Linked DNA regions of Notamacropus eugenii. The protein of the gene in region 1 interacts with the protein of each later gene in a pairwise test. Links are inferred from orthologs where the notes say so. Each region holds a gene or a part of one and is shown on either strand. Other genes may lie near its edges. The genes, in order: LRP1 and MAPK8IP1.

The links.
Region 2: the proteins of LRP1 (region 1) and MAPK8IP1 interact in a two-hybrid assay, tested with the Homo sapiens proteins (2 studies listed by BioGRID). The link is inferred for Notamacropus eugenii from reciprocal best matches to the Homo sapiens genes LRP1 and MAPK8IP1.

The regions. Positions count from the first base shown.
Region 1 is NC_092874.1:232,521,068-232,535,913, forward strand, and holds the start of LRP1 (prolow-density lipoprotein receptor-related protein 1), read left to right. Parts: upstream 1-8,365; 5' UTR 8,366-8,789; coding exon 8,790-8,922; intron 8,923-14,846. UniProt on the Homo sapiens protein: Endocytic receptor involved in endocytosis and in phagocytosis of apoptotic cells. Required for early embryonic development. Involved in cellular lipid homeostasis.
Region 2 is NC_092877.1:4,979,657-4,995,031, reverse strand, and holds the start of MAPK8IP1 (C-Jun-amino-terminal kinase-interacting protein 1), read left to right. Parts: upstream 1-8,261; 5' UTR 8,262-8,424; coding exon 8,425-8,531; intron 8,532-15,375. UniProt on the Homo sapiens protein: The JNK-interacting protein (JIP) group of scaffold proteins selectively mediates JNK signaling by aggregating specific components of the MAPK cascade to form a functional JNK signaling module. Required for JNK activation in response to excitotoxic stress.

The DNA.
Region 1 (14,846 bases):
TCTCCCTATGGTGGGAGGGGCAGGATGGGGGGGGCGGAGAGAGAGCATCTCAGTGAAGTCCAACTGTATGCTCTGAAATGGTCAGATCCCTGGTGGCCTGCCTCCCTGAGGATGGCATCTCTATTCTTATTCATCCATCGACAAATAATACAACCATCAACAGCCTGCCAGGTCAATGTATAGACACTGGGACAAATATATTTGGTCAACACTGTATCACACAGGTTCTGGACATCCCAATGACTACCCTGATGTAGGTGTTGTAGTATCTGCCTCATGCTGGCTTCATTCAGGACCTCTCTCCCATCTAGGAGAAACCACCTCCCCCACTCATCCCACTTGGTTGCTAAATTCTGAGTCTTCTTGGCTTCTTTTTCCAATAGGGATGCTGGCTTTAAGTCCAGCAGGAGTGTTGAGATCAGGTTTAACGTAGGACCAACCACACTCTATCTGAGTTCCCCAGCTCTCTTTGCCTCCTCATCAGCTAAGCAGTTTCCCCTAGCCTCAAAAGAACTTACCATTCACATGCTCCAGAGCCAGGGTTTTGGGCAGGTGTAGCTTTTCCAAAACCTGTTGTAGCAAGATTGTGTGTGTTAACTCCTTTCCTTTACTGCTTATCATGCCCCTCTCCTACCAAATTTTCCCAAAGACATGGGCCACTACCCATGTGTATTTAAAATCTGTATAAATGTTCCCTTCCATACTCTCTAATAATTTCAAAGCTTGACTCAATGCATATAATTCACAGGTTTGTGCAGACCAATGATTAGGGAGTCCACTCTGCTCCACAAAGGTGGTTCTGTCCCCATCAATAATTGCATAGCCATTCCTTCTTTTTCCTTCCACTATTCGAGAGGAGCTATCTTTGAACAAATTTGTAACTCCTGGAATCGGGGATTCCTGTAAGTCCTTACGGGCTTTGATCTGAAAGTCAATTAATTCTATACAGCAGGGTTCTTCAACCCTTGGTTCTGGGTCTAGCCCACCTATCAGGAATGTGGCAGGATTCAGGTTGGCATCACGAGTAAGGACCACGTCATCCTTCTCTATTAGAATCACCTCATATTTAAGGATCCTAGAATCAGTCAACCATCACCCCACCCTCTGGTTTAAGACCTGGTGGGGCACACTGACTACTAGACTTCTCCCGAAGGTCAATTTTCTACTCTCTTCTACCAGAATGGCTGTGGTGGCCACTGCCTGGACACAAGTGGGCCACCCTGTGGCTACTGGGTCTAATATTTTGGAAAGGAAAGGGATGGGGGTACTTCAGGGCATCTTTCAACCTTACAAAGCTATCCTCACTCTCCTGATTCCACATCAGGTTCTTCTTCCAACAAATGTTTATACAGTGTTTTCGTCAATATTGCATAGGAGTCAATCCATAACCTACAATATCCCATTAACCCCAGGAATTTTCACAGTTCTATTTTTGTCCTGGGGAGGCGAATCTGGAGTATCCCTGCCATTGAGTCCAGCTTTTTACTCTCTCCATTGATGAGGCAGCCTAGATATTTCACCTCCCATTCTGCAAACTGCATCTTTTTCTGAGAGACCCCCAAACCTTTAGTGCCTAACAAATTTAAAAGTTGAATTGAGGTCTCACTCACACCTTCTCTCTTGGGCCCTGCTACCAGTAAGTCATCAATATATTGATGGACAATCATTTGTGGAAGGGGTTGGAAATCCTCAAGGATCATTTCTAAGACTTGGCCAAACAAGTTTGGTGACTCCATGTACCCTTGGGGAAGGACACACCACCTCAACTGTTGGTTTGGGCCTGTGTTCTGGTCTTTCCACTCAAAGGCTAACAAACTCCTGCTTCCTTTATCCAGGGGGCAGGCCCAAAAGGCATCCTTCAAGTCTATAACACTAAAACATTTACTCTCAGATGGGATTTTCCCCATAATACTGTAGTGGTCTGGGACTACAGGATAAGACAAGAGGACTATCTTATTGGTTTCTCTAAGATCTTGGACTAAACAGTAAGACCCATCCCTTTTTCTGACCTCAAGAATAAGGGAGTTGTAAGGTAACTGACAGCTCTAACAACCAATCCTTCAATAAACCTTGGATTACCAGTTTATGGTCTTGCTTTCCTTCAAGGGAGATGGGATATTGTCTTACTCTAACTATTGTTCCCAGTATGTTCAGTCTGATCATGATGGGGGAATGTTTACTTTCCAGTGATTTTGAGGTCCTGCCCAAACTTTTGATTCAATCATACCCTTCTCTTAATACTAATACTCTTTGGGGAACAATTTGGGACCTGATGGGATGAGCCAGATGGACATTTGGGTGATCAAGATCCTCCCCCAATAGGTTGACTCCAGCTTTGGGCACAAATAAGAATTTTCCCCAAAATTTAGATCCTAAATACTCAAATTCTAATATTTCAGTAAGGGGACCAGGAAGTTTTCTCCTTTCACTCCAGATATCATCAGTCTCATTGTCAATCTTTGCCCTGGTGGGTAGTTTTACTAGAGAGGATTGGTTGGCACCTGTATCTACTAGAAACATGAATTCCTGCTTTTCTTTGCCCACCCTGAAACTTATCAAGGACTCGGGGTGGGTCTGCTCTGTGAACCCCTGACATCCCTAATCCTCAGTTTCCATGAGAGAAAATTTTCTGTTCTTGCTGGGGACAATTGCTCTTCATGTGTTCCTTCTGATCACAACTGAAACAAATCAATGGGGTGTGAGGTGGGAACCCTCCTCTCTTTGGGACACCTCTGGGTCCCAGAGGACCACACTCTCTCCTCTGCCCTTGTGACCTCATAACTGATTTAACTATGTCTGCATGGTCTGCATCATAATTTTAGTTTGTTCCTCTTGTTGTTTCAAAGCTTGCAACATAATCTTGGTTTGCTTAGCTTTCTCCTCCCTGGTCATATACACCTTCTGAGCAGTTTCTAACAATTCATCTAAAGGTCTAGCCTGCCACCCTTCTATTTTCTGCCATTTCTTGTTGATGTCAGGCCAGGCCCCAGTGACAAAATATACCCTAAGAAGGCTCTGAGCTGTGGGATCAGTTAGTTCTAATACTGAATATTTTCTCATGTGCTCAGTAAGTCTATTCAGGAGGGCTGATGGGGTTTCACCTTTTTCTTGTTTAACCTCAGTTACTTTGTTCATATTCTGACTCTTAGGAATGGCACTTCTTATTTCCTGGACTATCATGCTTCTGAGGTCCCTCATAAGGTCATGGTGGGCAGAGTTATTGTGATCCCAACTGAGATCTTGGAAAGGATACTTCTGCTCTCCTCTTAGCCCTCCCTGGGCCAGTGGATGTGCATCATCCCAAGCCCTCACAGCTGCTCTTCTAATTTGCCCCTGCTCTTCCCCAGTAAAAAGGATGTCCAATATGGCCATTAACTCAGTCCAAGTATAGAGATTAGCGCCCAAGAATTGGTGAAATTGATCTGCAATCCCAGACAGGTTGTCTATAAATGGTTTCATTTCCTTTGTAAAATCTCTAACTTCTGTCCTACTGAGGGGAGCATTCACAAAACCAATTCCCCCTTGAGCTAGAGGAACTTCCCTGAGGGGAAATAGGTTGGTAGTGTTGGGGGTTGGGAGAGGAAAATTCTCCTGCTCTTTTAGTAATTAATTCTCAGCAGAGAGGAGCAAGTGGCTGTGTGGTCACTGCCAGATCAATCAGGTCTCCGCCATCCTCTCTCTGATGGAACAGAAGGGGGAGGAGCTGATACTGGGGGCTGGGCTGGCTGACGGGTGTAAAGAGCGGGGAGGGCAAGGAGAGGATCCCAAGGAGGGGAGGTCTTCGGTTTTTCCTCTTTGTCTTCTGATTTTCCTGTCTCCTTAACCACAAATTGTCCAGCAGATGACAGCCAGAGGGCAGCATACATGCACTCCTCCTCATCCCTAGATTCCTTACTATTCACATACTTATTTAAACTTTGGCAGACCCAATCGTCAGAGGACCCATACTTTGGACAGAAGATGTTTCCTCCAAGCTGAGCACCATCCCAAATTAAACAACAATATTTGATCATCTTTCTCTTATCTTTCCTTTTATATTTTGGCAATTCATCCCAGTTGCTTAGCTAGCTTAGATAGTCCTTAAGGGACTATCTTCTGGTACCTTTTGGAGGGGACTCCCACCACTCAACTTTGACTAAGACTTTACCATGTCTCTTTCAATTTCTGTTTCCAGGCAACAGACTCTCAATTTCTTGTCCAAGATTTCTCAGATTCCTCAATCCTGCAGACTCAACAAGACTAACCTGCAATAGGCTCCCTATTTCTTGCCCAGAGTTTCTCAGACCCCTCAAGAGTTTCTCAGACCCCTCAATCTTACAGACTCAATAGGACTAGTTCTTCCTGTGTTGCCCTATTCGACCACCCTGGGTTTCAAAATCAAAAAGGCTCACCTGGGTCTGTGCACAGACTTACGTGATCAACTGATCCCGAGAGTGTTTCTCATCCCCCTTTCGATCACTTTCTGCTCTCAGCTTCAGTCTTCTTTCAGATCCTTTCCCACCAGAGGAGGGTCACTCCCAAACCTGACTGAGGGCCTCCTACTAAACTTCGGTGGGACCTTCTGCCAGTAGGTCTGGGTTAGAAGGACCCCCTCCTCCTTTGAGGGTATCCCGGACGAGCTCCCAAAACTGTATGGGACAGAGATCACCACCACAATAAAGATCGGAGTCTGAATTGGAGATCAGAGAAGGTCTTTATTCTTTCTCACGAGAAAAGGCACAGCCCTTGTCACTCAATCAGTGGTAGCCAGGGAGTGTGCTCACTGGTGGAGGGAAGCAGATTTTTATAGCCCTAACACAAGTTCCCTATCCCCACTCCTTATCCGCTTCCCCACTGGCAGAGTACTAGGGATGTACAATCTCATCACAACAGCTACTTTCCAATAGAAACAATTATGCCCATATTTAGTGGGGCAAAGCATATGTATACCAGGAAGCAGGGAGAGTCACCACGTGGATTTTGAGGAGGCTATTGAGACTTACGATGGCATGCAGAAACTGAACAAAAGGAGAAAGTCCTTCTAGTCCCCAACCAAGGAAACTCCCACACTATGTCAATATAGGAGGTTAAAAAAAAAAGAGAAAGCAGACAAAGGCAACTAGCTTTCTAGATCAGAATCATGGAAGAAAGGTGGTAGACAGTACACCACAGAGAGAGCCAAGAGAGAAATATTCTGGATAAACAATGCTAAGCTCAATTTTTAAAAGTGCTTTGATTCTTCTCAGTTTCAAAGGTTCAGAAAAGAGTCAATCTCCTCAAATGCTCCTATAGGAATTCTATAGTGGTCCCCATTGGGTGTACAAGACCTTGCTCTCCTGGAGTTTGATGGGGGAAGAGGTTCATAGAATCATATTATATGAGAAGTAGACAGGTCCTCAAAGGTCATCTAGTCCAATCCTGAAGCAAAGATGCTGTATTCATCTTCAACAGGCAGTCAACCAGCTTCTGTTTAAATATAGTTCCATGCAGGCAGGTAGGAAAGCAACAAAAATTTATCAAGCACACAAATAAAACATTATTTGCCAGGTACTGTGCTAAGTGATAAACATACATATACAAGTAAAAAGAAAGATATTCCCTGCCCTCAAGGAGCTTATGGGACCAACACATAAAAGGGAACTTGAAAGTGGAAGAGGGGGAAAGAAAAGAAGGTATGAGAACACTGGAGTCCAGAGAAGAATAAAGCACTTAGCTTTAGGATCCATCTGGGACCTTCCCCAAAATGAAGGCCCAGGAAGGAAACATACCAGGAGGAGAAGAAAGCCATCATGGCATAGGGAAGTTCTGGAGTGAGAAGGTAACCCAAGAACGGGAACAAAATCAGGACAATTAGAAGCACAATCAGGAGGGGAAATTTTAAACTTCTACTAAATGCAAAGTATAGTTGGACATACTGAACCTACAAAGACGAAAATGAAAGTTCCCATCATCAAGGAGCTGGAAGTATATGACATATTCACAGATAGAAAGAAGGAAGAAACAAATGTTTCCTCAGATAGAAAGTGAAAGGACAAAAAATAGCTCCAAGCATGTAAAGATTGTTAGAAAAAGAAGAAGGAGCACTAATGGCTTAAGGAAGATCTGGGAAGGCTTCATGGAGAAAACAGGAACTGAGCCTTAAAGGAGGATAAGGAAAGGCAGAGCTAAGGAAAGACTGAATTTCAGCCCTCGGGGGATGACCTGAGGGAGTGCAGAGGCAGCAGATACCCTTCAAAATCTGAGGAACAGCTAACTGTCCCAGAACTTCAATAATGTGCATAAAAGAGGATAGAGATGTCCCTTTTCATATATTATCTTCTCTTTTTGTTCTTGTAATTTGTACATGAAAATGTTTGTTTGTTCATTACTAAGTTCCTAATTTTGAAAAGAATTTAAAAAAAAAAAAAGGTTGGTGGGCTAGGTTAGAGTCTAATTGTGCACATCCTTAAATACTACCAGACCTTAGTAAAAAAAAACAAATTCAATCTCATCACACTGCGTGACTCTGGGCTAGTGATTTCACCTGTCTACCTCAGTCTCCTCAATTTTAAATTGGCCATAATACTAGCAAATTCTTCTTAAGGTTGTTGTAAAGATCAAACGAAATATGTGTAAGGTGATTAGCACATAGTCACCTGGCCCTTAATAAAATATTTATTTCCTTCCTGTATATTTTAACCTAGAAGTAACAGGGAGCCACTTAAGGTTTTAAGCATGTGTCTTTATGTTGGCATCTGTGAGAAGGATGGACCGGGGAGATGAGACATTTCTAGACTAGGAAACAACGCCATTAATCAATCTATTCTGCTTTTTGGTTATTTCTAACAGTTGGAAAAATTTTCCCCATATCCGACTGCCACTCATTGGTCCTAACTCTTCCCTTTGTATCTGCTGTGCTTTCTTTGCTCAAACATCCAACAACTGGCTTCATAGTTTCAACATCTGGCAGGGCATTCCTCACTCTTTTTCTGGAGGCTCTTCATTACCACTCGACCCTCTCCATAATGTAAGGCGAAAAGACAGACCAGAAGGGGGCAATGGCGAGACGCACATTCCCAAAAGCCCGGAGCTCGAGGGACGTCTATTGCAAAAGACTCGGAACCTGGGACCACGGCTGGGCACTCAGGGATGGAAATCCAGTAAACCTAGAAATCCCAGACCGATCCTCAGAATCTCCCCCCCTCCCACTTGCCAATTACAAACCTTTTTTCTTGTGAATCTAGAACCCAGAGAGTTAGAGCTCTGGTCCCTAGCTTTCATTTCCGAAGTCACCTGGGAGGTGGGAAAAGCCCCAAACACAGACATTTTCAAAACAAAAACAACCACAACAAATGCCTCTGACCTCCCCGGGGGAGGCGGGGGCGCTGCCCGCCCCACCCATCCAGTGACTCACTCCCTTCCAAACAGCTCGCCCCCAAACCTGCCCTGCGCCAAGGAAAGGAGGGGTGGGTGGGCTAAGGGGGACGGGGGCGGGGAGGGACGGGCACTAAGGTGGGCTCTAGTCCTTAACCCAAGGCGAAAGTACAAGTTCAGTCGAGTCCCGGCAAATGTCCCTGTTTACTGGGAAGCCGAGAGCTAGGGAGGTGGGGCGGGGCCTGGGCGGTTCCGGCCCGCCCCCTTTGCCCCGAGAGCCAATCCCCTTCCACTTTTCCCAGAGCCTCCAAATCAATGCTCAACTTCTCCCAGTGCCTTCCCCACTGACTGGCATCTCTTCCCCAGCTCTCTACGGGCCAGGGATTGGGGGGGAGGGAGGGGGGGCGGCGTGTGTATGTGGAAGGGGGGGTTGGAAGAGGAGGACAGGGATAGGGTCAAGCTTACAGAAGGGTACAGGCCCAAGTCCAGAGAGGAGAATCTAGAACCCAGGACGGGGCTGAAATCCTGTAGCCCCACACCCTGCCCATCTATCCCCTCAGCTCTGGAAGACGCAGACGGGAGGTGATGGAGGGGAGGGGGGAGTGACGGCGATCTTAGAGCGAAGTTGGATGTGGGGAAAGAGCGAAGGGGTTTGTAGTCGGGTTCGAATCCCGGCTCTGTGATCAGTTTGATCATTGACAAGTCACAGAAATGTCCGGGCCTCAGTTTCCCCATCCGTAAAGTGACCGAGCTGGAGTGAATGTCCCTTCTAGCTTCAATCCTATGATTCTGTGTCTTGGCCCGCGGGTCCATGGCACCGCCTCTCTGGAACCGCTTTCCAAGCCCCTCGGCCCTGCCACTCCTCCTTCTCCCCCTCTTCTGGAGGGTGAGGGCGAGAACGGCGCGCATGCGCACCAGGACATTTGCCGCGTAGCTAGCTCTCCCCCTCTTTTTTCTCCCCGCCCCTTCCCCCTCCCCGCCCCCTCCCTCTGCTCCCTACCTCCCACTCCCCCCTTCCCTCCCCCCGCCCCCCCCCGCGCCACCTCCATCCCGGGAGCACAGGCGCGAGCTCAGGGCCCTTGCACTGAGGAGGAAAAGAGGGGAACCCTCCAGCTCTTCTAAAGCTGCGAAGGACCCCCCTTCCTAGGCTCCCCCACCCCGTCCACGCCCCCCCATCCCCCCCCGCCTCCTCCCAATTGTGCATTTTTGCAGCCGGAGGCGGCTCCGAGATGGGGCTCTGAGCTAAGCCCTAGGCGAGGGGAGAGCCAAGAGAAGAGGAGGGAGGGGGGACCTCGAGGTGTTCGATTTGGGGGCGCATCCTCCCCGCCAGCCAGCTCCAGCAGAGGGGCCCTTAACTATTGCCTTCTCACTACCCCCCTCCTCCGATCCCAGAGCTCGCTGGGCTTTGCGGAAAGAAAAGACAAAAATAAAGGCGGGGAGGAAAACGGGGGACCCCCATGAAGGGGGGCACAGTCAAGAAGGAGCCCGATTGCGGAGGAGGGGGCTGTTTGCACCGGCCCCGCACCACCATGCTGAGCCCGCTGCTGCTGCTGCCGCTGGCTTTGGCTCTGGCCACAGCGGCGATGGATGGTGAGTGAGAGTCCCCCCACCCTCCCCCCTCCCCCGAGGACGCCCCCTCCCCAGTCCCCACCTCTTACTGCAGAAAGGGGAGGGAGTCGCGGAGTGGGGGGGCCTTTTGTTATCCGGGTCCAGCTGACACAGCAGCGCCCCGGCTGGGGGCTGGGAGCAGGGGTCTGGGTTGGCTGGGGGTGGGGAGCCTGGGTGGAAGATGCTTCCCGGACCCCCCCAGTTCAGACAAAGACTGGCTTGGGGGGCAGACCCGGCGCCCGCTTAGTGCCACCGAAGATGAAGCGAGGCCTATGCTGTCTCTATTTCTAGCGGAGGACGTGTCCCGGCCCCCCCCCCCCCATCCCTATCTGAATTGTGAAGGAATCTGGATTTGCATTAAACATCTGCAAAGGGGGGGGGGAGAACTGCTCGGGCGGGGGTCTGCAGTGCGTTTCTAATGCGTAGAGGGAGAAAGCCAAAGGGGGAAGTGCTTTTCCTTGGTGCCCACATTGGGCAGAGGTGTGAGGAGAGGAAGAGGACTTGTGTACTAAAAGATGGACTGGGCCCTGGAGCAGGGGTGGAGGGAATGGGTTCTAGAAGGACTGGGTTCTAGCCTAGGCCTCCAGGGTTCCACATCTTTCTTTCTACACTCCCCCTTTTGTGGGCCTCTATCTGTAGCCGGGGTTGAGTGGAGCTGTATGGGGATAGAGGTGGGAGGGGTGGGGGGTTATTACGTTACTTCGAGTTTCTCTTCTTAATTTCTGGAGGTTTGGGATGAAACGTCAGACGTCATCAGTGAGGAGAGGGGCTGGGAGTCGGGTTTGGATCACTGAGGTGGGGGCACGGAATGCTTTTCTGGTACCTTCACACTTTGGACTAGGAGAGTTTAGGGATGGGAGGAAGGGGGAGTATGCCGCTGCTGTTTTCTGTTCTGCAACTTAAGTGAATTTGTTTTTAATTTCTCCCCCCCTCCCCCTTCTCCCTTTGCATAATGCAGACATCAGCTCTAGCCGGAACTCTATGTGCTTTAGGGAACTGGGGGTGGCCTCTTGTTCCCTCTCCTTTCCTCCCTTTTGGCAACTTTTCCTATTTAACCCTGAGTCATGGGTTCAAGTCTTGTCTTAAGTCAAGAATAGGGACGGATAGGTTGGGGGTTGGGCTGGGCAGAACTGAGCCCCACTGATTGAGTGTATGTGGGGTGTCTCACCACCCTTTTCCCCCAGGGGGCTCCATACTCTGCCCACAGCAAGAAATGACCCTCCCTCCTCAGGCCCACCACACCTCCACCCCCACTTCCAATCTCCAAAACTTTGCCAAGTTTGGGGTTGGGAAAGTTTTTCTCAGAAATCCAACTGCCCTGTCCCCCTCCCCCTGACCTCAATGGGAATCAAAGACCCTCTTACTTTGGTTAAGAGTGAGGCAGGAGAGGAGAGGAGAAGTTTGGGGAGCAGGGAACCCACATAGAGAGGGGGAATATTCAATGCCCCCTTCCTCAATTATACCATCCTTCAGAACTCTCCTTCTTTGGGCTAGGAGGAAAACAAAAACAGAAATTGCCCAGTTTAGAAGAAGGGAGAATCTCTGCCCTCATCTCTTTCCAAAGCAGCCTATATCTGCCTGCTGTACCCCCCAAATAATTATATTTAACTTTTTTTCCTTCAATGAGGAGGTTTGAATGCTGGGAAGCTGAGGCAGAGGGAATTGGGACACCTGGTTCTGGGAAAGATTAGGAAGAATCAGAAAAGTCAAGACAAGAAGAGGAAAACAATTTGGTTGGGGGTGTTAAGAGGCTGGAGGGGCCACTATGGGGAACACAAAACATCCTGAGATGTGTTCAGGGGCCCAGCTGGAGTTTCACAATGGGATGAGAAAGTGACACAGCTGTTCTGTGTTCAAGGGCTCTAATGCTGGCTTTGGCTACCCGCTCTGGAGCGTTGGGGGGGGGGGGGGGGGGAGAGGAGGTATGTGTTACAGAGACGTTCAACTCTGATCGAAGTTTAGAAACTGTTCTCCCTGACCATTCCTTTTCTCCAATACTGCCCCCTCCTCAAATTCCATTATCTCAGACTGTGCCCAAAAGAATGAGATGAGAGAAGCAGTTGTAATATGGAAGGAGAGGTGAACGAAGTATGATGAAGTCAGCTATGTAACTATGGGCAAATTATTTCACTTTTTCAGACCTCAGTTTCCTCACTTGTAAAATAGTGATAATAACACTTGCACTATCTACCTCACAGGGCTCTTGGGGAAAAAGTGGTTTGTAAACTCTGAAGTGATATATAAATTCACATTGTTATTAGGGGGAAAACTTTTGGATTGTCACCTTAAAAGTCCATGTTGTTTTGGCTCTGTGCCTCAGTTTTCCTCCTTAGACACTTCTTGACATGAGGGTTAGGAGGAGGTTCTCCTCCTCTCTGAATCAACAGAGTAGCTGAGGGAAATGTTGATTGGAGTTCCTCCTCCACCACCCTGTGTTTATTCTATACTGTACCCCATCTCTACCTTCCCCACATTATCTCCCTCTTCTCCTTGTCCACCCCCAGCCCTGAGCCCAGACCATAACTCATCAAGAGCTGTCTTCTAGTACTCCTACCTCCACCTCACGCCTATGTCAAACTGGGGCAGGGAATCGCCATCCCGAACGTACATGTGCCCCTCACTTTTGGGAAATTTTCTTTCATATCTAAACATCTTCTCAGCCTCTACCTTCAGTGGAGATGGAGTCTAATTTCTAGGTCACTGAGCCCTGACCCCTGTCCCCTGAATCATGAGTGGAAGTGTTCAGAAGGTGGTCTCAATGATTTGCTTTTGGGGAATCCTTGAGGTATATGGGAGTGTAGTTGGATAAGGGTTTTTTGACCTAGGTTTTCTCTTGGGGTTATGTCTAAGGTGGGCCTGGGGATGTGCGCGTAGGTTGGGGACAGCTTTTCCTCTCAATCCCTGGCTCTGTAGCCAGGTTTCAGCTCCATCAGCAGGAATCAGCATTGTTTAGAGAAGGAAGCAGTCGGCTCTGGAGTGTTTCCGGAGCCTGTGGCCTGGAGGCACCAAGCGTGAAACCACCCTCTGTGGTGATGGAGGGAGAGTGGGGTTGTGGGGTCATCTGTCCCTTGCCCTGATCCTCTCCCACTCCTGCCCCAATCTAGAGTATCTTTCAGGGAAGATGCCCAGCTTTTAATTTTCCTCTTCTCACCCTTCCAAGTCTTGGAAAGGCCTTGACATGAGTCCTAACTGCTTTCCTTCTCTGTGTAATGGGAATTTATCCCTCATGCTGGTAATCCCAGGGTAAGTGCAGACAGCCGGGAAGGGGACTTAGTCCCCTCAGTCCCATTTCTACACTATTACTTCCTTGATGGTGTCATTTGCTAGGTTCACCCCAGGACAGCTATGTCATTGTCTCTGGCAGCTTACCCTTCGATTGTCGACCCCTCCCTGTCTCTCCTTCACTCCCTCTGTCTCCCCTCCCTGATTCTCCCAGTCTTTCTTTACCTTTTTTCACTGGGTTTGTCTATCTCTTGACATCTCTGTCTCCAATCGCTCCCTAAGTCTGTATCACATGCTCTTCCTTGAGTTGGCCGAGGCAATGAGTTCTTAAGCTTCCAGTGAAAACTGGATGAAAGAAATGTCCCCCCTGCCCTCTTTCCTTTCTGCCCCCCCTCACTTAGAGAGCAGATATTAGAGGGGGAGTCTCAGGGAGTGAGTTTGCCGTATCCCATGGGCAGAGTGGGAGTTAAGGGGCTGAGCATCATGAGGAAGAGAACTTGGACTTCACGGGGAATTTCCCAATAATTAAAGATATCAGGGGAAAGAGTTGGGGAATCCAGTGAGCCTGGGGAATTTGCTTCCTTGCAAAGTATAGGCAGATAGACTTGGGATTGTGAAGGCAGAGGGATAGATGTGATGACCTCTAAGGATAGCTTGGTGGTCTGGGTTTCATTTGTGGGGTCAAAGAAAAATCTTGTGTGTGGGGAGGGGGGTTAAGGGTCAGGCTCATGTCCTGCTGAGTCAATATTGACTCAGGGTGGAGGGGGCCCTCTTCTCCTCCCCCAGCGGTCTGAGCCACCCCATCCATCCATCCTGGCCACAGAGCAGAGGCCCAGACTCAGGAATGACAAAAATGTGTCTGAGCCTCTGGGAGCCTCCAGAGCTGCGGGGTAACACCCAAAATACATTAAATCAAGTAAAAAGCTCTGGGTTTGGGGCTGGGAGGCTCTTCTGTTATCCCCATTTCCAGTTTATCTGAAAGTTCATAGTCCTGTTCACTGTGTCCCCCAGTGCTCCTCCAGTCCCCCACCTTCCTCTCTGCCCTTAAATATATCCTCTGTGGTTCTTTTCCTTAGATGGCCCCGGGAGGAGAAAATTAATCTCTCCCTTTGCCTCTATGTTGCAAAAATAGGAGATCTTTCCTACTTACTGTCCCCAGGTCTCTCTAGCCTTTTGGGAAATCCCCTTACAGACCACTTCCCTCCGCTTTTAAGCTGCTCTTTATTGGTTTAGGGAATGACCAGCACCCCTTTATTCCAAGACTTCACCTTCCCAACTATCTTCCCTAAAGGGAGGCCTTTGCCATCTTTTCCTTCTCCAACTCTTAATCTCTTTCTGTCCTCTCCCCCCCCAACTCCAGTCCCCTTCTCCTTAAAGGTCCCAGACATGGATAGAGGGCTTCAGCCAGAGTCCGAGTGGGACAGGGGGAGTCCATGTTGTGTCTGGCCGAATGCTTCCAGTGGGTCATTCTTAGTGGCCCCAGAGGCCAGGACTGGGCCAAGAGCCCAGGGTGGGGAATAGGAAGAGCAGGGGTGTCAGCTAGCTTTAGCATGGCGGTCACATTCGTCTAGAAGCAAAGCTGAGAACAGACGCCCCTTCTGTGCTGCTGGCTGTATTCTCTCCCTCCCTTCCTCCCTTTCCCTCTCTCTTCTTTCTCCCAGAAGTTTGTTACCCAGCCAGCTGCCCCCCCCCAAACTCTAGCTCCCTCTCCTCCTCCAAATGGAAATAGACCAAAAATCGCCTCTTGTCACTGTTCTACTGGATCCTAGCCTGTCTATGCAGCTGGTCGAGGAACACCACCAACTCAGGAGCTGAAAATGACTGACCAGTTCTTCCCAGAGGCATCTGTACCCCCCACCCCGAGTTTGAGTGCATTGTCAGCTTGCCTCTGTCTTTAGTGCTAGACAAAGGTTGATGGGGTTCCTGTGTTTTAGATTCAGGTGATATGGATAGGGAAGGGAGGGAGGAACGTCTGCCAACTCCAAGTGAAGCAAATTCGAAGTCCCTGCAGATGAGTATGACTGGGAGTACTAGATAAAAAACTTTATCTTAGCCGTGTCCGTTATCTGAAAGTGAGTTACTGAAGTGGTACGGGCCTGTCCTCCAAATCTGCCTCCCTTCCTCCCAGGCCTCACAGAGTCCAGAAGAGGTCTTAGGGTTATCACCTCCTTTCACTGACAGGCAGGTCAGCAGTGTCCCCCATCCTGCAGGCTTGGGCAAGGGAGGGGGAGCACAAGGGAAGGCGGGATAGATGCCTCTGGGAGGGAAAAAGGAGCCCTGAGCTCTAGCCTTCTCTGCTTTCCCTTTCTTCTTCGGTCCCTCCCCTCCCCCCCCCCCCCCCCCCCCAAAGAGCACATCTGGTTTGTGAATCTCACTCATTCCAGCTTTCGGAGTTTGCCAGCTGCTGTTTCCTCTGTCGAACTCTGGCCAAAAATGAAGGGGGTGGGGTGGGGGGGAAGCGGAGGCTGGGGGACCAAGCAGAGGCTAGAGGAGGGAGGGGGAGGGATAGACGGGGAGGACGCTGAATGGGACATGGATGAGGAGAGGCCAGGATAAGCAACGAATGACCCTATCTGAGCCCGGACTTCGACTCAGGGGAAAGAAAGAGGAAATGTAAAAAAGAAGTAAAAGTGGAGAGTGGCTAGAGCCTTCTAGTTCTCTCCTCAAGTATCCCATCTGCCAAT
Region 2 (15,375 bases), on another chromosome or scaffold:
GAAGTGCTGTGTATGCACAGTTGTCTAGCCTATGTTGTTTCATCCCATGGTAGGGCAGTCTTAACTCATTTGTGTCCAGTCTCCTGTCTTCCTTATACTAAGGGCAGATTGAAAAGAGCCAATACCTGACAGATGGATGTTTTGGCCTGTGCTTTTTCAGGGGGGTTTTCCCCCCTTGCTTCTTCTCCTGGCTGTGAGATCTCATTGGATTCCCCCTTCCCCATTTTCTGCGACTCCCCCCCTACTGATGACATTGTCCCTCATCTGCTGACAGCATAGGGAGCTGGGGCCTTGTGCCTCAGTCTGTTGCTGAGCTTGACCTTATTCCAGTCCAGCCCCGTGGGTTTCTGTGCAGCTACACTAGGGCAAGGGTTCACAGGAAGCTGAGGAAAGCAGCCTTCTTTCCCCAGGCCAGTTAACTCCAGACTGCGGGAGGTTTTACCTTCACCGAAGCAACCCCATCAGCAAGCAAGACCAGTCACTGACTGGCTTGTGGAGCAAATGTATGTCAGCAACCCTGGTGTGGCTGGCGTGGGGAGCGCTGGGCCAGGTCCTGAGGGAGTGAATCTTCTAGCCTGCCACAGAGCCTCACTGCCTCTGGCCTCTTTTGATTGTCTTCTCTGATCTGGGCCTGTACATCTTGGTACTAGAATCATGGGCCCGCCACCCCTTCCATAGACATCCTATCCTGGCTGCCTCCCATCCACCCTGCTCGCAGCACGGTTACCCCTTCTGAGGATGAGAGTCCCGAAAAGCAGGGTCTTTGTTCCCAGTCCGTAGTGCGGTGTCTGGGACACTGAGCATGTAAATTCTTGTTGATGTACTGATGGTCACATACATACCTATATATTAAACCCATAGAAGGTGTTTGCATGAAATGGAAACCTGTAGTTACTGCTAATGTAGCTGTTTATCACTTTTCACTCTACAGTGGTGATGTCATCTTGGTCACCTTCGAAAATGAAGGACAGCCACCAGTTATTTATCATGAACCTTAGGATCTAGCACGTAGGTTAAGGAAGCACATTTTCCCAAATGTGCACATTGTGAGGGCTGCGTGTCACCACAGGCACAGATCTGCCGCTGTCCCAGCCGCCTTGCCATCCTGCCCCCTGCCAGACCAGTAATTACCCAGATAAATTTAAGCTTATGTAGCTGTTTGAAATCTCCTTATGTTAGGGATTTCGCCTTGAGTTACAGCCTCCATACCTTTGTGTCTCAGTCACATTATTTTGTGAAGAATGTTTGAAACCACCCCCGCCCCCATGGTTTGAGTGCTGTGCCCTTCAGACCCAGTGCCACCCTTTTCATTGTCTTCTTTCCACTAGTGTGATCACTAACACCCGTCAGCAGTCTTTTCTCACAGCACTCTGGTTGGGTTCATTGCTGTCTACTAGGAGCTCTCTGTAAGTGAGGAGTTTGACTCATGTCTCACTTTTCACTCACTACAAGAGAGGAGACTCGTTCTGCTTGGCCCCCAAAGGAATCGATGCAGGGAAAGTTCTAACAGTTAGAGTTGACAGAGGATGGATGTGCTGCTTTCACAGGTAGTGAGTTCCCCATCATGAGAGGTGTTCAAATACAGGCTAGTACCTGCCTTTTGGGGATGGCGTAGAAGGGATTCCTTTGAAGGTACAAGTTAGAGAACTGGAGCTGGCCCGAGGTAGCTGTCCCAGCGACTGACACCCCATCCCTCCACCCTGCTCCCGAGGGTATTCATCCCCTTTCACCCTCTCCCCCCGCTCCTCTGCCTTCCTGCCAGGGGCTGTGCCCACATGTTGTCCACCTCCATGCCTCCATGGGAAATTCCACTCTGGCTCTCCCCCATGACAACTAGTTCTCCCTCCCTTCTGTGTTGCTGTGGATCAGAAACAAGAACCTCATCTGGACCTCAGGCTCTGCCTCCTTTGCTCCCCTCAGCCTTGAACAGGATGACCCAGAGCTTCCTCCCAGGCCTCATCCCTGTGCCTCTATGCTCTTCCTCTCACCCTCCTGACCCTTTCTGTGCTCAGCAAATCCTGATTCTCTCCTCGTGTCCAGTCTGTTGACCTTCCCTTCAGGGACAGGCTGCTCCTTCCCTCACACCCTTAAGCATTCATTGGCCACCTGCCACCATCCTGCCAGGCACCATCCTAAGCACTGAGACAAGGAGCCTGCCTTCACCTTGTTGAGTCTCCATACCATGTTCTGACCCTACCTGTGCCACCATTCGGCACCTGCTTCTCCCCTTCCTAGCCCACTCCAGCCTGCTGCTGTCTTCATGCCCAGCCACCCCTGCCCCTAAATGGTCCCCAGCTTTCTTAGATTCCTCAGCCTTCTCAATCCTGTGCCCTGTGCCTTCAGGATCCCACCGCCTTACACTTACACATGGACCTGTGCATATGACTGACTGTTCCATGTGACAACACTGCCTGTATAGATAGGCCCTGACTTTCATGGAGAGTTGTTTTAAATTGGATTCCCTCACTGTCAGCGTCCTCCTCCCTCTACTCCCAACCAAGGGATATCTTCATTTTCCCCGAGCTCGTCCTCTTGCTCCCCTTCCCACCCTGGCCTGGGCTCTCTTAACTGGCCATGAGCCCATTCAGTTCCTTCCCATTACAAGTTACTGGTTCAGAGGGCCCCCTCAGTCAGCTCCAGTACCTTTGTGTAGAGACCCGGCCCTGAACAGTCATTCTCTCCTGGCCTTGTCCTTGGAGTGCCTTATACATTTGGAGCTCTGGCTATTACCAGTGATTTATCCTCAGTAGGGTGAAATTCCCCTGCATTTCATCACAGCAGGGCCTGTGCATTCTCCAAGATAGAGAGCACTGCCCTGAACAGGAGCCCCCACATCCACCATCCCCCTGACCCTGACTGCTGGACCCCAGGCTGGTCATCATGGGGAGTGGGACAGCGGGGACGAGCAGGGAGGAGCGAGTGTGCTCCTGTGGTTCAAGATGTCGGCTGACTGCTGCTTTTGGATGTTTCTCCTTCCAGCAGCAGAGCTGAGCAGCTGCAGAAAGAAGGGCGCAGCATGGCCACAATGCCAGCAGACCACGGACTGCAGGGAAAGCAAGTCCCCTGCGAAGAGAATGTGTGTGCCTGTGTGTGCCCGTGTGTGCCCGCATATGGGAAGGAGGGGCGTTACGTGATGTGCAGTTGGGAGGTGGCAGCCTCCACTCCTGGAGACACCCTTGTACCCTTGAGGCCACTCGCACCCTGGACTCTCCAGCCCCCCCACAAGCCCAGAGGTTGGGCCCCAGCAGGGGCCTCCAGAGCAGGTGACCTTGCCCTCTCTTCTCCTTCTATCAGGGCAGTGGGACCATGAAGCTGTAGCTGAAGCAGCAGGGCTGGATGCTGGCCAGGCCCTGCCTCTGCCCAGACCCCAGCTCTCCAGTGCCAGGCTTTGCTGCCTTGTGTTAGAGTCTGAGCATCTTCTAGATTAGGGGCATCTGAAACTTTTTCCTCCTCAGAGAGCAGGACTAAGCATTCTGATGGCATGGCATCATGCAAGGGGCTATTGGAAGACCCCTCTTGGGAACCTGCCACAGCCCACTCTGCCTTGCCCTGCTCCCTGCACACTCATTGCCTCAGGTCAGGTGCAGAAGTTAAACTGTTAGAAACAGAGGCTGCTCATGGTATCTTAGCTTAAAGGGGTACTGGGTCTCAGAGAATAGAAATCTCCTTCTATCAGCAGCAGATTGAATGCTTAGTGGAGTTCTTATAGTGGCACCTGCCCTTCTCCCACCCACGACACCCACTGAGGAAGGGCTGCCAGCCCAGCCGCAGGGAGTCGTCCTCTGCTGCTTTGGACACCAAGGCCTGGCAACTGGTCAGTGTTCTGGGACAACTAGGAGAAATCAGCTGAGGGGAGGCCCAGATTCCAGGAGTGTCCAGTGGCCTCCTTCTTTCATCATTGCCCATCCCACCCTCCCCGCCTCCTCATCCTTCCATACAGGGATGAAGGCCTGCCTTGCACTGCGCTAGAAACCATCATGAAACGGAACTTGGAGTAGACCGAAGTAAAATGTAACCACCTAGAGAAGTCTTCCTCCCCGCCCCCAGCCTCTCATGGGGCTGCAGAAAGTCTGTGGGGGGGGGACACATGTATGTATGTATGTATGTGTGCACGTGTGTGTGTGTGTGTGTGTGTGTGTTTGCTGGGCCAAGGGCCTCCAGTAGCCTCCTTGGCTTCATGCACTGCCCCCTCCTGACCTTCCCCCACAGCTTTGGGCCTCCTTTCTGCCCTCACCCTTCAGCTGTTACCTTGCTCATTTCCTCTAGAAATGCCCTTTGTCTGTCCCAGAGTGGGTCGTAAGAGTAGGGAGCAGTGGGAAGTGGGGTTCAGTAGAACGGGGCCCTAAGCTCTCTGCTGACAGGACACAGACCAGCCTGATGGTGTGTGGACCATGGCAAATGTGCAAGAAGATGGGTCCTCAGAGTGGGAGTCGAGGTCCCTCCCCATCTCATTCAAAGATTGTACTCCCCCCAAAGAAGAAAGCAAAACCTCCAGTTCCTCTACCCCACCCTCTCCTTAATTTATTGGTGGTTGTAGCTTGTCCCCAGTCTGACCAGTAGATGGAGCAGGATGAGCCTTCTCCAGGCTTGGATTAGCCCTCCTTCCTCTCTACCTTAGACTTGCCTCTGGGGCCCACTGCCCCAAGCTTTTCCCCAGCTCATTCCTAAGGGAACCATGGGGACTGATGGCAATGGGCCCAGTGCCCTTTGCACAGAGACTTCTGTGTTTGAAAGGTATGGTGTTTTTCCCGTGGTCTGCCTGTAAAATATATCTTTGTTTTATAAACGTCTGACCTTGCCTGTGCTGTGCCTGTCCCATCTGTTCTAGCAGCCGCCAAGAGTGGGGGTGGGCAAGGCTGCCACTACTCTGATGGAGAAGGTTGTTCTCCAGACTCTAAATTGTGGGAAGGCAAATCCTGCTTAACTGCAAGCCTGAATCCAGGGTGGGATACTTTAGTAGAGCCATAGCACCCTCAAGGGAAGAGAAAAGGGGTCGCTGGAATCCATGGCTTCTTCTGGAGTCTGAGAACCTTGAATTCAGCATCCCCACGGGGAGTGGTGGGGTCTTGGCATGCTTCTGTACTAGCCTTTGGCCCGGTATGAATATTGCTGCAGCCTTGTTGATACACCTGCTGGGAAACTTTATCAGGAAAAGTTTGTTCAGCACCTGCCTGAGGAGCCTCAGTCACTGTTATAGGATGGCATGCTTCTGGTCTTGGTCCAGTGGTGCCATGGCACAGTGCTCTGGCAACCCAGCCTTCAACTTTCTAGTCACTGTGATAAGTTGGGTTGGCCAAACCCTGGCCCTTAGATGCCAGGCATAGCCCAGTGGGGATGATGGTGTCCTTCCCCCACTCTTGGCATTGATTTTGAGCAATGGCGCTTTCTAAACTAACCTTGGGCTAGCTTTCCTTTGATCTGTGTCTCATCTGGATTCTAGAGCATAAAGTCCAGTTTAAGCCCTAAATGGGTGGGGGATAGAGCCCAGAAGGAAGGAAATCCTTACCTCCCTATTTCATCCAAAAGGCCTCACAGGGTCCAGATTCCAGGATACCCATACATCCAGAAATAATCATTGGCATGCGTGAATCCCACTACAGAGGCTGAGAAGGCCCATAGGAGGCGGGCCTGATTTTCTAGCAGCAATGCCATGAAAAGGGCCTCTCCTAAGCCTTCAGGATGAGAGGAGTGGGCCACCCAAGGAGTTGGATCCTATGGATATTCCCTGCAGATGCTTTCAGTCTGACTGTTCTTAGCAGTGTTACATCCGAGGAGCAGGTATCTGTGGGGATTTGTGCCAAGCAACCAACTCAACAAATGTTTATTAAGCACCAATTATTACATACCAGGGACTAAGCAAGGCCTTCATAGTCTAAAGTAGGATATCGGCTTTGTGCCTAAGGAGCTCCCAGAGCCCACAGTCAGAGGGTAGAAAGGACAAGAACCCAAACGACAAGGATAAAGGACAAGGTCAGCATCAACTGGAGAGCTCTGCAGAGGAAAAGGTGTCACTTGAGTTAGCCTTAGCCAACAGTCCATTCTGGGTATGAGACCATGAGCAGAAGCACAGACACCTGAGGGGTCAGTGTAGATGGAGACTGAAGGGATGCAAAGTGGGCTAAGGCCAAAAAGCAGCTCGGGGAGGACTTTGAATGCTGGAATCGGGAGTTTGCACATCGAGTAGGCAATGGGGATCCTAACAGACACCAGAAGGAAGGGATGAGGTTACAACATTCAAGTCCTACAGAATTCCTAGGTTTAGGAGTGGAAGGAATCTCTCTTGGTCCAGCCTTCTCACTTTACTAAGGCCCCAAAAGATGTAGTTATGTGCCTAGGACCATAGAAACAGGTGGCAAAGACAAGATTTGAAACCAGATCTGACTTCAAGTTCAGCATTTATTCTATTAGCAGAAACCTATTCGGGTGGAATTCTGGGGAAGGTGCTTTCTGGGGCCAGACTTCTCAGGAGAAAGCAGGACGCTGTTCTGGGGCACATGGGGGTATGGAGGTGTGGATGCTGAGATGACAAAGAGATCCAAAGATACAATCCAACCTGTGGGGTTGGAGCCTGGTACAGGCTTCAGGGGCTCTGCTCTTTGCCAACACCCACAGCAATAAGCTGGCTTGTTAGATGAATTTCCATAGGAAGCTCATCAAGGGGATGTTAGGAGCTCCAAGGGCCCAAACAGCATAGGCACCAGTCCCTGGAGAGGGAAGAACCAAAGTAGGTATACTGGGAAGGAGCTACTCAGCCAAGGCTTTGTGTCAGTGGGGGGAAAAGGGGGGAAAATATAACTCAGAAAAAATCCCAAACGGCTAAGAGGTAGGAGAACCCGAGAGAGAAATGAAACTCAGAAGATCATGAAATTAATGGGTTGGTATTCAGGAGGCAGACCCTGTGCCCTGGCAGAGAAGACAGTGTGTTAGCCTAGAGAAGAGCCCTTTACAAGGAGCAAATGCTATCAAGGTGCTGAGAGAGAGTCGGTGAGGTGAGAAAATCAGACATTGCTGACAGCCTTGGGGGTGGGGAAGTCAGAGGAGGCTCGGATTAGGAAAGAGAGGATACAGTGTCTCTAGTCTGGGACTGATCTGGGGCTAGGAGGTGGGAAAGGGTCAGGGCTGGGAAGGGGACTTCAGAGGCCCAGAAAACACTCTGGGGGAGGGGGGGCAAGAGGAAGCTTGATGCAGGGGAGAGAGCATTGTCCTTGGAATCAACTCAGCCTTCCCACCCCTTAAACTGTGGGGCCTTGCAAGTTGTACCAGCCCACATTTCTCTGTAAAGTGGGGTTGGACTTGATTTCTATGGTCCTTTCTAGCCTTTAACACTCAAGCCTATAGTAGAGTCCAGATTTCTGGGACCAAATATTATCCAAGGTATTTGAGGAAGAAATGGGTCCGAGTGGGAAGACATGAATCTGGATGACCTTTGCCCTGCCTCCCCTCCTTTTCTCATTTTCTCTGTACAGCTTCCAAAGTGAAGGAATCTTAGAGAAGGTGTAGTCTAATCCCTTCATTTTATATATTATGAAACTGAGGCCCAGACCGAGAAAGGGACCTGTCTCGGGTCCCATGGAGAGTGAGAGGCAGAGACGAGGTTCCAGACCTGGGGCTATTTCCATTCCATCTGAGATCCAGTGGTAGGAGACTGTGCAGGTCCCGCATAAACAACAGGCTTTTAAATCTCAGTAATTCTGCATTCCCCCCCCCCCCCCCCCCCCCCCCCCCCCAGGGATGGGAATAATCTCTGAGATATTCTGAGGTTTGACAACTCCAAAATACGGTGGACAAGGTGGGGGTGGAGAATGGCAGGTAACCAGGGAATGGGAGGCTTCAGCACCTTGGAGAGCGGCGGCGGGGGCGCTACCCCGCGCTATTGGAGGAAGCAGGAGTGCCGAGGAGGAGAGGAGAGAGTTTCCCCTCTAGGTCCCTCGGTGTCCCTGCCACCCGGCCAGTTCCAACGCCGCGACCCTCTCCAGCCCCTGCTTTCACCAAGTCCCCGGCTGCCCTAAGTTCACCCAGCGCTGCCTGGTAGCGGATGCCCAGCCCCCAGACTCGGGAGCCGAGCCCTCCGCAGGTGCGTCCCGCCCCTTTCTCCTCCTCCTCCTCCCCTCCGGGAGCCTGATGGCTACAGCAGCAGCTTCTCCGCCCTTCCTTCCTCCCCCTCCCTCTCTTCCTCTCTCTCTCTTCCCCTCCCTTTCCTCCTCCCCCTCTCCCTCCTCCTCCTCCTCTCCCTCTTCCCCCTCTCCCTCCTCCTTCTCCTCCTCTCTCTCCTCCTCTCCCTTCTCCCCCTCTCTCTCCTCCTCCCCCTCCTCTTCCTCCTCTTCCTCCTCCTTCTCCTCTTCCTCCTCCGCCTTCTTTCCCTTCTCCTCCTCCTCCTCTCTGGCTCGCTCCGCCCGCCCGGATGGACTGGGCTGCGCCGGGAGAATGGCGGAGCGAGAGAGCGGCGGGCGCGCCGGGGGCGGGGGCGCCGCGTCCACGCCTGGGGCCTCCCCGTTCCTGGGGCTGCATATCGTGTCGCCTCCCAATTTCAGGTGAGAAGCGCTAGGGGCCCAGGGCGCGCATCCCCGCCATGCACTCTCCGCTGCTCGCCCTACCCCGGGGTAACTAGGGATCCCCTTCTCCCTTACCCAGGGCAGCGGCCTCTCCCCCCACCCCAGGAGCAAGTCCTTTCCGCCTTGGGGCTGGACTGGAAGGGGCGAGGGTGGGTATTCGGGTAGAGAGGCTGGGGCACCGAGGAGGAGGAAGGGGACTCCGGATGCCATTTCCCAGACTGTCTCTGGGTCCTCCTTCCTCTCCGCCAGAATTGGAGGTGGGGTCAGTGGGCGGGGGTCTTCTACCGTGGTGGGGAGGTTCTGGGCCTGCGACCCAGATCGCCAGCTCACATGAAGGTCGGCTATCCCTTGGTTGGTGGTGTCAGGAGTTCCAAGGTGGCAAATGCCTCCCCAACCCAAAGAAAAAGCTCTGGGCGGGTGGTTGGCCCTTAGAATGAAGGGGCCTCAGAGCCACGTGTCCTTGTCTCTCCCCCACCACCACTATGGGGAAGATGAGGTCTGTGCTAGGCAAAGCTGGCCTCCGTCTGACCGTATATGAGGTGAAGGAAGATTAACCTAGACATCCTGGGGGGTGGGGACATTGAATCTGGAGTAAGAAAATCCAGGCTTCAACTCAGCTCTGCTCTTTCATTGTGTGTGGCCGTGGGTAAGTCACTCCCCCTGAGTCTCAGCTTCCTCATCAATCTAAGGGACTGGACCAAATGATCTCTAAGATACCTTTCAGTTCTAAATCTTAGGAGCCTATAATGATGGGAGGGCCCCAGGAGAGTAGGGAGAGCGCCCTAGATATAATCTCCCTGAGTGATCTCTGAGGTACCCGGAGGCCTGACAACTTCCCCAAATGGGTCTGACCGAGTGGGAGCTCGGATGGCGGGAGATCGAGTAAAAAGAGGTTTGAGCACCTTGGAGAGAGACAGAGGTTCTTTGAACCACTTTCTCCCCAGCCGCTCTGTGAGAAAGAAAGAGAGGTCAGGGTAGCCTCTGGACCCCCTTTGCACCACCAGTCTCTATCCTAGCTCTTCCCGACTGGACCCAGACCTAGGGAATCTCTCCTACTTGGGCCGAGCTCGGTCCCTTAGCAGACATTTCACCTGGGGAGGATAGCCAAAGGAAGAGGAAGGAGGAGAGAGAAGGCTATTTTCTCTGTCTCCTCTACCCCCATCATTGACAGCTCCAAGCAATCCTGGGAAGGTGGTTCAGGATCAGAAGGGTCAAGTTGTTTTCAGAGGGTTTTTTGGGTTTTTTTGCTCAGCCTGGACTGGGTCTGGAAGATTCTTATAAAAGACCCTTATGTCTGGAACTTCTTTCCTTCTTTGACCTGCCCTGGAACAGACCCTGGAACATATAGGGTATAGGTCAAGGGGGGAACGGGGAGTAGGAAGCGTATGTGTGTTCAGATAAGTGGGAGGTGTGAATTCCAGTCACTGAATAATGTCATTCCTCCACCACCACCACTCTGCCCCCAACCCCAACCTCAGGAGTTTTATGAGAGTGAGCAGCACGTCTTCAAAGTGCTTGGAGATCCTTGGAGAAAGGTTCAAATAAACATCATTGTTCTTTCTCCTGCTAATAATCCTTCCCTTCTCCCTGGACACTAGCTCCCCCCACCCCCGCCTGGCAGTCTGATCCCAGCTGGGGCCCAGTGCCTGAAGGTTCCTGTGTCTGTGTCTGTCTCCTCCTGCTAGCACATGTCAGAGACTGAAGGCCCCCAGGAGGGTCACTAATGGTGCCTTCCAGCCACAGGGGCCCTTGAGACTTCCAGTCTGGAGAAGGGAATGGGAGTGGAGAGGAGCACCTGAGCCACAGTGGCAGTCTCATTGCTAATGAGACTGAGGTCATGGAGTGGATCCCTGTAGGGTCCCCAGATAGTATCCCCGACCTGGAGGCCTGGGATAAAGACTGTGGAGGGCTCTGTGGAGCCCATCTGCACAGAAGGAAGTGGGGTGCAGACAGCTGTGTGTGAGGACAATGATCTACCAAGTTCCAAGGCAGAAGATTCTTGCTTCAAGGCATCAGCCACACTTTGTACTTAAGCTGTTCCCTGCCCTTTCCCCTCCACCATCCCTTTGCTCTCACTTCCCAAATCCTCTCAACTTCTTTCTCCCTGACCCTCTCCCTCCCCCATCCTTATCCCTACAGTAGCTGTGACACCAGGCTCTTCACAGTCAATAGAGTATTTCTTTCACAGCTCTGTGAACTAGGAGGAGCAAGTATTGTCACCCCAATTTTCACTTGAGGAAATTGAGACACAATTAAGATTTCATGGCATTGTGGTGTAGATCTGGGTTAGGAGCCCCAAGTTCAAATTCCAGCTCAACCAATTACTGATATCACCTTGGACAAATGGCTCCTCTGAGCCTTAGTTTCCTCATCTGTAAAATAAGAATAATACTTGCATCTGTTCCGTAACGAATAGACTCCTATAAATCAATAGAAATAAGTTGTTCCTTTAAATGACTTGCCCACAGTTACAGAGTTGGTAAGTGGCAGGTTAGATTTTGAATCCAAATATCCTGACACTAAATTAATTTCTCTTTTCATAGCTACTTATAAACTTATTAGATAATGTCAGGGCATTAGAAAATTGGAAGGCACTAGAACAATTATCTGGTTTAACCCTCTCATTTTACAGATGGGGAAACAAAGGCTAATTGACTTGCCCAAAGCTGCATAGCAAGTTAGTGAAAGACAGCCTAGACTTTCCCAGGGGTCACTGGTCCAACATCCATGCCATAGCCAGGGTTGGGGAGGGAAGAGGAGAAGAGAGAAAGTCATTATGAGGGGGCCTGGGTGTAAGGATCAGGAGAAAGAATGAGAGTGAGAGGGTTGAAGAAGAACCTTTTCCCAGAGAGGTAGGAAAGCACCTGCTGCCCCAAGACCATTGCTCCCTTCCTCTTAAAACAATGGAAGACAGAATAGAGAGGATTTTCCTATTTCAAAGACAGAGAGCTCTAGAGACCCAGAATTGGGGAGAGAGACCCCTACAAAGATCAGACAATTCCTGAAGGTGCTATGGAGGAGGGGAAATGGGAATTGGAGCCCAATAGAAAGAAGGGCAAAAAAGGCCTCTAAAAGAGAAAATAGGAAGGCAGTCCATCAATGGGCATTTATAAAGATCTCACTATGTGCCAGGCATGGGTGATACAAAGAATAGCAAAAAACACGGTCCCTCCTCTGAAGAAGCAGACATGTAAACAACTTGGTACAGACAAGATATAGACAGTGGAAGAGATGCTCTAAGATAGAGATAGAGGCAGACAGACAAAATCAGAGAAAGAGGGGAGAGAGAGAGACATAGAGAGAGGGAGAGACAGAGAGAGAGAGAGACAGAAAGAAACAGAGAGACAGAGAGAGAGAGAGATAAGAGAGAGAGAGAGACAGAGAGGGAGAGAGAGAGAGAGTCAAAAGGTAATTTGCAACTGGAAAGCATTTCTAGCTGGGAGGACTGGGAGAGGGTTACTGCAGAAGGTAAGATTTGTACTGAGTCTTGAAGGAAGCCAGGGATGCTAGATAGAGCTGAGGAGGGAAAACATTTCAGTGAAAAGGCATAGATATGTGTGATAATGAAATGATGTGTTTAGGGAATTACAAGTAGGTCAGTATCATGGATTGTAGAATGTGTATGTGGAAAACTAGAAGAAGGCTGGAAAGATAGGTGGGGACCAAGTTATGAAAGGCACTAAGTGATAGATCTTGTGTTTGATCCGGGAGAACATAGGGAGCCTTTGAAATTTATTAAGTGGGGAGGGGTGGCATGGTCAGACCTGTGCTTTAGAAACGTCATCTTGGTAGCTGAATGGACAATGGATTGTGGTGGGGGAGAAACTGGAGGCAGGCAGACCTATTAGAGGCTATTAGACCAAGAAAAATGTGGTGACGGCCTGAACTTAGGAGGGGACTATGTGAGTGGAGAGAAGGTGACATATGTGAGATGCTGCTTAGGTTGGAGAAACATGGGGAGATAGTGAGGAACTAAGGATGATGCTGAGGTTGTGAGCTTGGATGATTGGGGTGCCCTCCAGAGTAGCAGGGAAGTGTGGTGGGCTACTGGTGTAGAATAAGGTATGCATTATCAGAGCGATCAGTGGATTATTTTATCTCATTGTAATTCTTTGTTCTCATGGTGGCTGGTACTGGGAAATGGTAACAATTTTTCATAAAAATCAATTAAAAATATGTGTATATTCAGTTGTTTTACAGTTGTGTCCAGTTCTTTATGATCCTATTTGGGGTTTTCTTGACAAAGATACTAGAGGGTTAGCCATTTCCTTCTCCAGTTCATTTTACAGATGAGGAAACTGAGGCAAACAGGGTTAAATGACTTGCCCAAGGTCACACAACTGGGAAGCATCTGAGAGCAGATTTGAACTCGTCTTCCTGACTCTAGGCTGAGAGCTTTATCCACTGCACCACCTAGCTGCCCTTTTTAATATGACTTTTTCATAAATACACATTTTTAATGTCAGGAATCTCTGCTCCCAATGACCCACAGGCACTTTTTGGGGGGCAAATTGCACTGAGATAGAATATGGGGTAATGGATCCAGCCCTGACCTCAGAGCCCGCTGAACCATGTTTGGGTTTCACCTCTGACGTGTCCTGAACTTTCGAGGTCCCAGGCAACTGCCTATCATTATGAGTGAGTGACCAGTCTGTTGGTGATCTGCATTGGTAGAGGCAGTTACTCCACTGGGAGCTCCCATGCCAATGAATCCCCAGACCTCTTTGTTCCCACCCACCACCTACCCCCATTCAAGGGCTACCTCTGGGCTCCTATTCATGGCTGAAGTTGCACTAACAGTGTGAGCTTATCTTGGGTGCCTCCCCCTCTCTTTCTGTTTCCCTGCTCTGTTATGGTGCTATCTCCCTAGCCTCCACCTCTGGGAGCTAAGGAACTTAGGTTCCCTCCTGCGAGAAACAACTCTCATAGAAGGCAACCTCTCAGCGGAATAAACACCATCTTTGGAGTCAAAGGAGCTAACTCTGCTATTTAAAACTTGGGACAAGTCCTTACATGACTTGGGAAAATTCTCTAATTTCTGTGGGCCTTGGTTTCTTCATCTATAAAATGAGGAGTTTGGTTCAGTTTAAAGTATCCCACTTACCACAACAAGCTGGAGGCTTCCAGAGTGGGTAGCTAGGAGAGTGGGTGGGATGGAGACTCTGACATGTGCATCATTATTTTTTTAATTTGTATTTTAGTTTTCAATATTCACTTTTATAAGATTTTGAGTTTCAAATTTTTTTCTCCCTCCTTCCCCTCCCCTTACCCAAGACCATATAGCTATATATGTACAATCATGTTAAACATAGTTCCACATTAGTCATGTTGTGAAAGAAGAATCAGAACAAAAGAGGAAGACTAAGAAGGAAATAGACTCCATAGTTCTTTCTCTAGATGTGGGTAGCATTTTCCATCATATGTCTTTTGGAATTGTCTTGGATCACTGTATTGCTGAGAAGAGATAAGTCTATGAGAGTTGGCCATCACACAGTGTTACTGTTACCGTGTCCAGTGTTCTCCTGGTTCTGCTCACTTCACTCAGCATCAGTTCATGTAAGTCCAGGTTTTTCTGAAATCCACCTAGTCATCATTTCACAACAGTATTCCATTCCATTCATATGCCACGGCTTGTTCAACCACTCCCCAATTGATGGACATCTGCTCAGTTTCCAGTTCTTGGCCACCACAAAAAGAGCTGCTATAAATATATTTGTACAGGTGTCCTTTTCCCTTTTTGTCCTCTCTTTGGGATACAGACCTAGAAGTGATATTGATGGGTCAAAGGGTATGCACATTTTTATGCCTTTGGGCATAGTTCCAAATTGCTCTCCAGAATGGTTGGATCAGTTCACAATTCCAGGAGCAATGCACTAGTGTTCCAATTTTTCTTACATTTTCTCCACTATTCATCATTTTTTGGTCATATTAGCCAATCTGCTAGGTGTGAGGTGGTACCTCAGAGTTGTTTTTATTTGAATTTCTCTAATAAATAGCGATTTAGAGCATTTTTTTCATATGGCTGTAGATAATGTGTGGGTCATTAAAAGGAAAGGGCATGGCTGGTCTGAGGAAGACAAGACTCAGGGGAGGACATCAGAGCTGTCTTAGAGTATTGGGAGGGCTGGCCCTGTTGAAGAGAATTAGACTAATTCTGCTTGGCCCCAGAAGGAAAAACAGGAGCAGTGATTAGAAGTTAGAAAGAGGCAGAATTTGGCTTGAGGTAACAAAAAACTTCCTGACAATTGGATCTGCCCCAGAATGGAATGGATTGCCTCAAGAGGTGGTGAGCTCCCCATCACTTGATGTATCCAAGAACAGGCCAGATGACCACTTGTTGAGGATATTAAAGAGGAGATTCCTGTTGAGGTGATGGGCTTGTGCTAGATGACTTCTGAACCCTTTCCCAGGTCTCAATTCTGTGAGCTCTTTCATGCCATCTCGACATGGGAGGGACTGTATGGCCTGCATTTTCATTCATTCAACAATTGCTCCCTGAAGGTCTTATCCAAGGTCAGCCCTGAGCCAAGACCTCAAGAGTCCACTGCCTGGGCATGGAGATGACGCACCTCCATAGAAGAGGACTGTAAGACCACTGAAAGAATTGGAGAATAGACCAGTTGGAGAATAGGGAATTTAGCTGCATGACCCTGGGCAAGTTACTTAACCCAGTTTGCCTCAGTTTCCTCATCTGTAAAATGAGCTGGAGAAGGAAATGGTAAACCACTCCAATATCTTTGCCAAGAAAACCCCAATGGGGTCACAAAGAGTCAGATATGGTTGAAAAATGACTAACTATCACATGGAAATAATGGACCTTTCA